Oryctolagus cuniculus: one gene and its partner. The protein of the gene in region 1 interacts with the protein of each later gene in a biochemical or structural test. Links are inferred from orthologs where the notes say so. Each region holds a gene or a part of one and is shown on either strand. Other genes may lie near its edges.

Region 1 (3,813 bases):
TTGCAAGTGCAATGAACAATGGAGAACTATAAATTAACAAACCCTTTGGTTGGGCTGCTTTGTGTTTCTGACATAAAGATGCATTTCCTTTTGGCAGGAGGGTCTTCCTCTTCATCAGAAGAACTTTCTATTGTTAGGTCAATAACATCCACTTTCTTTTTGCTTGCCTCACTGGCTACAGTCACTGCACAAGGCTTACTGAGGACACCTAAACCTGCACGTAGTAAAAGGAAGGAAAAACAACATTAAAGGTGTGACACCAACTCAGTTGTTAACTCAGTCTTAACTGTCAAGTACACCCAGGACAATGCATAGCAGTGAAGCCACACACTCTGCCCCTAACTCCAGGGATATCAATAAAAGGACTGCTTCCCTGGGGAGACAGGATGAGTGCCGCGCCTTGACAGCACACTTGAAATTGCGTGCGCAGATCCTGCTGCACCATCAGCTTCCCAGGTGAGCAGTCATTTCAGACAGAAACCTGCAGTTAAGAGACTTGGTCTCAGGCCACAGGACAAGAGCATGTGGTTTTACCAGATGTGTATCCTCATAGACATTAAGTCAGAATTAGATATTTCCATTCTTGCAATCATGCTAATATTAAAGTCTGTATTAGACTACCCATCAAAACTTGATAAAAAAATCAATTTTACCTTGATCAGCTGAAAATCCCCACAAACTTCCAATTTAGGTTATTCAGACATTTAAAGCTTCTTGAAATTAATTATCTACTAATCATTTAGATTTTTTTCTCAGCATTGCCTCACACAACAGATGTCCACTCTTTTCATACAAAGGTATATTATTCCCTATAATCTACTTAGTTGAAAATAAATGCTGGCAGATACTGAAAAACCAGCAGCAACCAATCAAATTGCTCCCCATTTTTCTCAAAGATTAGAGAAACCTTGGTCATTATACTTAGGTTCAGTGTCAATTACAAGGGAGTAATTAATATTGGTATATGTCTTTATTTTTTTCCCCATTTCTCCTTACCCTGAAAAATTTAATCATTACTTTTTTTCTTAGAACTTCAAATACAGTCAGAATAAAATTCAAATGCAGTGAATAGACTGCATTAGATAAAAAGGAACTTTAATTACACCTACAAGTTTCAGTTACTCAAGCTGTATTTAGTTTCCCTACTCAGTGTAGGCAGGTGCAGGGAGCTCAGTGGAAGGCTAAATATAAATATTCTGGGGGCCAGTGCTGTGGCATGGTTGGTAAAGCCGTCACCTGCAGCGCCAGCACCCCATATGGGCACCGGTTCTGCTCCACTTCCAACCCAGCTCTCTGTTATGGCCTGGGAAAGCAGTGGAGGATGACTGAAGTCCTTAGGCCCTTGCACCTGCATAGAAGACCTGGAAGAAGCTCCTGGTTTCTAGCTTTGGATCAGCCCAGTTCCAGCCATTATGGTCACTTGGGGATTGAACCAGCAGATGGAAAACCTCTCTCTCTCTTTCTCTGTCTGCCTCTGCCTCTCAAATAAATAAATCTTTAAAAAGTATAAATATTCTAGGTAAACAAACGATGACCAGATTCCTTTCCACAAAGAAATGGAAGAAAAACAATTTGTTCACCTGTGACCACTGCCCCTCCCTGTTCATTGACCAAACATGCAACTTCTCTAACCACAAACAATTTAAAAAAACGAAAATGTCACTTATCATGTTTTATTTTGTAATATACTTCATTTGGTAAAATGATTTAGATGACTGCTTCATTCATTTTACATATTACAAGTATATTATAAAAGGCTGTAGGATGGTAGAACACTTAGCATGTATCTGGGGAAGGTGTCTGGCCTAATGTTGAAGATACTGCTTGGGTCACCCGTACCCCATATCAGACACAGTGCCTACGCTGGGGTCTTGATTACACTCCCAAATCGTTTCCTGCTAATGCGCATTCTGGAAGACATCAAAGGATGGCTCAAGCTGTTGGGTCTTTGTCACCCAACTGGACCCCTGAACTAAGTTCCCCGTTCCTGGTTTCAACCCTGCCTGAGTCTCTGAGGTCATTTCGGGGAGTGAACCACAGGATGGGAGCTCTCTCTCTGTTCCTCTGCCTCCTAAATAAAAAGAAATTAATACATTTTATGACATTTCTTAAGGAAAAAATAAAAATCACTAAGGAGGACGGCAACGTATACTTGACAGATGATCCAAAGCTGAAGCAAGCAAACTGAACTCTACTGATAGTGCTAGTGGTCAAGGTTAACAATAAACATAATGCTGCCCAATCTCATTGCTTTGCTTTCCACTGCCATTCTGCACATACTTTCTATTTTTGTACACGGTTGGCTGGATACTTTCATAGCTTCTTTCTTCGGTCTCATTGGACACCAAGAGCCATCTTCTTGGAATTTGATTTCATCCACATCAGAACAATCATTGAGAATTTCCATAAAAAGCCTATAAACCAATTAAGATGTACATACGTGCAATCAATATCTTTGTTCAAAAGCAAAATAAGAAAGCAATACATGGTGGAGGCAAAAACAATGATACCTTTTTTTTTTTGATATTTCAGTATTTCACATCTTATAAGTAGTATACCCCAACCCTGCTTCCCACCTAAGGGCAGTACAGAGTTAAGTGGCTTACAGAGATCACTCAAAATTTCAGTAGCCGAACAGAAACAAATAAAAAGAAAATAGCTATTTCTTTCTTGGAACAGATCAATAAAAGACAAGCTGCTGGTCAGACTTACTTAAATCCACTTGAAAAGCAATAGATAAGCTGAAGAGCCCCATGTCTATCAAAGATACTGCTTCTGTAGTTAAAAAATCTAACTGTAAAGAAAATTCCATGCCTCATATCTTGACCAAGGAACTTTACCAAATGTTCAAGGAGAAATATTACTACTTTCCAACTCATTTTATAAGGACAGCATTATTACAGATGAAAACCAGACAAGGACATTATAAGAAAGCTTTGCAAAACAAAAAAAGGTAACACCACAATCAGGTGGGATTTATTCTTAGAATGCAAGGTTAGTTTAATATCTGAAACTCCATCATCACAGTACATCAAAATAATGGATCAGGAAGTGCAAAAAGGCAAGACAAAGACATCAATTAGAAAATCCTATAAGAGCAATGTACAAAACTCAATTATAGTTCTATTTACTAACAACCAGATATTTAAAAAAACACATAATAATGTAACACTTAGCGATAAATTTGACAAAAGACCCACAAAATACACTGAAAACTATAAAACATTATCAAGACTTGATTAAATAAATATAACATGTTCATGGATCAGGAGACTCAACACTGAGTCTACAGAGTCAACACAATACAAATCAAAATGCCAGCAATTACTTTTTCTGACAAACTGAATTTTTTTCCCCAAGTTTATTTATCTGAAAGGAAGAGAGACAGGCAGAAACAAGACAGACAGGCAAGCTGCGAGAGATCTTCCAACTACTGTTTTACTTCCCAAATGCCCACACCAGCTGGGGCTGGGTCAGGCTGAGGCCAGCAATCTTCAGCTCCACCCAAGTCTTTCACATGAGTGGCAGGGACCTAAGTACCCGAGACATCACCTGCTGCCTACCACGGGTGTGCATTAGCAGAAAACTAGTATTGAAGTGGTGCAGGGACTCAAACTCCAGCACTCCAATATGAGATAGGCATCTTAAGTGCTGTGGCAAAAGATAACCCTGGCAAACTGATTCTAAAGTTTGTAAAGAAATACAGGAAAAGAATAGTTATAAGACTCAGATTACTTGGTTTCCAGAGAGTGAAGTATCGCAATAAATAGAACAGAATACACAAGACAGATTCACATTTATATATGGTCAACT
Region 2 (3,813 bases), on another chromosome or scaffold:
GCTGGCTGACTTGGGGGTCTGGACATGAACCTCCCAGCAGTCACTCAGATCCGCTGCAGGCCCCTGCAGACCCTGGTGCCTCCCACCCAGGGGCCCTGCGTCTGCTCGCTGCTGTCCCGGGCCTCCCTCCTGCCGCCTGCCCTGTGTCCTCCCAGGGCGCGGTGGCGCCAGCAGTGTGGAGTTTGCTCGGCTTCTGGCAGAAGGGGTGGGTGGGGCGGGGAGGGCAGGGGGAAGTGAGTGTGGAGGGGCACGGGCGGCGCGGCGACTGCAGGCCCCACGGCAGTCTGTGGATTCTGATTCTGCTATTTTGATGTGTTTACTTTTCTGAATTAAGCTGTGTTATCTGGAAATATTTAATGGAAATTGCTTTTTCTTTTCAGGGCTTGTCAATGAGGCAGATTAGATTCAGGTTCGATGGGCAACCAATTAACGAAGCGGACACACCTGCGCAGGTATGCGCCCGTGGCTCTGGTCTGCATGGTGGGCGTCGCTGCCGTTTGGAGTACAGACTTGAAAATCACTGCTTGGTCCTCTCATGGCATAGCTCACTTTTTTCTTATCAGAGTTCTAAACTTTAAAAAGTTGACGTTAAGTTTTCAACTGAAGCCCATTCTTTGCCAGACATAGTCCTTCTGTTTGGAGATGGCCTGACGGCTGGGCCCAGGGCGGTCAGCACAGGCGGCGCCCGGCACGCAGCCCCTGTGCAGAGCGGTCAGAGCCCGCCCTTCCCGCTGGTTGCTGGGACGCCTGGCGTCCGGTTTCACCCGTGCGTAGCCACGCGACCGCCTGCTTTCGCGTCTTGCTGACGTGTTGTGAGAACACGCGAATACGAGGGCCCTTCAGAGCTCTGGGAAGTGAGTTCTGAGACACCTGTGCGTGGAACTGGCCATCGCTTTTGCACCAGAATCAACTTTAAAGATTGATGTACTTACTTTGAAAAAGTTAGAGAGAAAGGAAGAGGCCGAGATCTTTCACCTGCTCGTTCATCTCCCAGGTGGCTACCGTGGCCGACGCTGGGTCAGGCCAAAGCCAAGACCTTCTTCTGGGTCTCGCACGTGGGTGGCAGCGGCCGGAACACTTGGCATCTTCCAGTGCTTTCCCGGCACCTAAGCGAGAACTGGACGGGAGGTGGAGCCGCTGGGACATGCAGCGGCGCCCACGTGGGTGCCAGCATTACAGGCGGAGGGTTAACCTTCCCCGCCACAGCGCCAGGCTGCAGCCAGGCTGCAATTCACTACTTCTTAGAAGATTTCTTTCATTTGAAAGAGTGATAGAGCTGAGACAGAGATATCGATGGATCTTCCATCTGCTGGTTGACTCTCCATATGGCCGCGATGGTCAGGGCTGGGCCAGGCCAAAGCCAGAGCCTGGAACTCCCTCCAGGTCTCCCACTTGAGTGCAGGGGCCCAAGCATTTGGCCCATCTGCAGCTGCCTTCCCAGGTGCATTAGCAGGGAGCAGATCGGTAGGCCTCAGACGCGCCCATGTGGGAGGCCCGTGTTGCAGTTTGCGGCTTAACCCGCAACATAAAGTTATCTTTTAACTCCATTTTCCCCTGAAGTTTCTGAAAACCCTCAAACATCTTACCCTCAGAAAGCTTTTTTATTTAAGAAAACATATATGTGACTCGATACATCATGTTATAGGGTATCACATTGTAGTAAAAAAGAACTTTGGGCTTATAAGTAGAAGTTTTGTTGTTTTTAAATTTATTTATTTATTTGAGAGAGAGAGAGAGAGAGGCAAAGATAGATATGCTATCTGCTGGTTCACTTTCTAAATACCTACAACAGCTGGGGCTGGGCCAGTCCGACGCCGAGAGCCCAGTACTCCGTCTGGGTCTCCCGTGCGGATGGCAGGGGCCTAGCTGCTTGAGCCATCACCTGGCCTCACGGGGTGTGCTTTAATAGGGTGCTGGGATTGGAAATGCAGAAACCAGGCCTCAAACCCGGGCACTGCCTCATGTGGGCGTTCCAAGCAGTGTCTTTTTAAAAAAATTTTATTTATTTATTTGACAGAGTTACAGACAGTGAGAGAGAAAGGTCTTCCTTCCGTTGGTTCACCCCCCAAATGGCTGCTACGGCCGGTGCTGCACGACCAGGAGCCAGGTGCTTCCTCCTGGTCTCCCATGGGGTGCAGGGCCCAAGCACTTGGGCCATCCTCCACTGCACTCCCGGGCCACAGCAGAGAGCTGGCCTGGAAGAGGGGCAACCAGGACAGAATCCGGTGCCCTGACCGGGACTAGAACCCGGGGTGCCGGCGCCGCAAGGCGGAGGATGAGCCTAGCGAGCCGCGGCGCCGGCCCCAAGCAGTGTCTTAACTGCTCAGCAGATGCCTGCCTCTAGGAGTTGTGAAGTTCAGGTGCAGCTCCTGTCACTTGTCAGTCGATAACCTTGGGGTCAGGAGCAGCTGGATCTCGAGTCTGTCTGTTCTGTCTGTAGAAGGGCCATCATACCCGATCTCCTGCCTGCCATGCTGTGAGCATCCATGGGGATGCCTCAAGTGAAAATACTGTTGCAAAGTGTATTCAGCATTTAATAAATACTGAACACTTGTTTGCAATAATCGTTTAATTTCGGGCCACTTGAAACCCTACACTGTCGAGATGGGCTGTGCCGCGCAGGGGCTCCCAGCTGTCCTAGGCTGCTAGAACCCAGCAGGGCCTGAGCCAGGAGGGGCAGGCAGGAGCAGAGGCCCCGCGTCCCCGCGCAGTGCCGCTGCTGCCAGCCTCCTCTCCCTGTGTGACCCTGGCAGGAGCTCCCTTTGGTTCAGGGAACGAAGACCAGCATAGAAGTTTTGGGCCCAGGGGTCAGAAGAGAAGCCAGCAGGAAGTATTGGTGACCCTGTGCCCTGGCCTCTCAGGTGCCGGGGGGGGGGGGGGGGGCGGCGCCAGCCTGGGACCCTGTCCTCAGCACAGCCGTTGCCCATGGCCGTTCTTGTTAGCGCTGGGCTCGCTCTGAGGTGCACGGCGCCCATGGGCCAGTCACGGAGCGTTCTCGGTGGGGATCTGTGTGCGATTCCCAGGAAGAATTAGACGTTCTACTGTGTGTTTGAATGCCCCAGTGCTTAGCTTTGAGAATTTGGTGAACTCTGCAGCTCCGCCATGGCACCTCACCTTGCACGGGACAGAGGGGCGGGGCCTCGCAGTGGGGATGAGGTTCGGAGACACCAGGACAGGGAAAACTAACGGGCTTCTCTCTGTGTACCTGGCACCGTGACTGACAGCTGGAGATGGATGACGAGGACACCATCGACGTGTTCCAGCAGCAGACGGGCGGCGTGAGCAGCCGCTTGCCGGGGCGTGGCCTGTTTTCCATCCTTGCGTTTGCTGTTGAATAGTGAACCCGAGACCGTGCAGTCACAAAGGAGTCTGCAGAAACTCAAGGACATGCAGCGAAGTGACTTCCTCTCTGGCTCAAACTCTCTGCAGGGACGAATCCACGACTGAAATGGGGCCAATCAGAATTGTTATCTTTGTTTAGGTAAAATGAGTTTTTGGGGTTTTTCATTTGTATTTGTCCCCTCCTCTCTCCCCAGACCTGTGGCCCGAGTGTGGGTTCCCGAGGATGGGCCTTGGCTCCCCGTGCCAGGCTCGCCTGATCCTGCCCGTAACCCGCGGCTGGGGGGGTGCAGGACAGGCCCTCACTTACACTTGCAGGCACGGGTTGTTGAAATGCTCGATACTGGACATCGAAGCCTGGTCACGTTTGGTAACGTGGAAGGGAAAATCTGGAACGCTTCTTAAAAAGTAAAAACATAAACAAGTCCTTTAGTAAAATGGCCCAAGCACGCTCTGCCCTGCTGAGTGTGGCCC

The links.
Region 2: the proteins of PIAS2 (region 1) and SUMO3 form a complex in vitro, tested with the Homo sapiens proteins (2 studies listed by BioGRID, with this or other methods). The link is inferred for Oryctolagus cuniculus from reciprocal best matches to the Homo sapiens genes PIAS2 and SUMO3.

What each region holds. Positions count from the first base shown.
Region 1 is NC_091441.1:30,720,245-30,724,057, reverse strand, and holds part of PIAS2 (E3 SUMO-protein ligase PIAS2), read right to left. Parts: intron 2,415-3,813; coding exon 2,281-2,414; intron 215-2,280; coding exon 43-214; intron 1-42. UniProt on the Homo sapiens protein: Functions as an E3-type small ubiquitin-like modifier (SUMO) ligase, stabilizing the interaction between UBE2I and the substrate, and as a SUMO-tethering factor.
Region 2 is NC_091435.1:1,764,917-1,768,729, forward strand, and holds part of SUMO3 (small ubiquitin-related modifier 3), read left to right. Parts: intron 1-380; coding exon 381-452; intron 453-3,224; coding exon 3,225-3,338; 3' UTR 3,339-3,813. UniProt on the Homo sapiens protein: Ubiquitin-like protein which can be covalently attached to target lysines either as a monomer or as a lysine-linked polymer. Does not seem to be involved in protein degradation and may function as an antagonist of ubiquitin in the degradation process.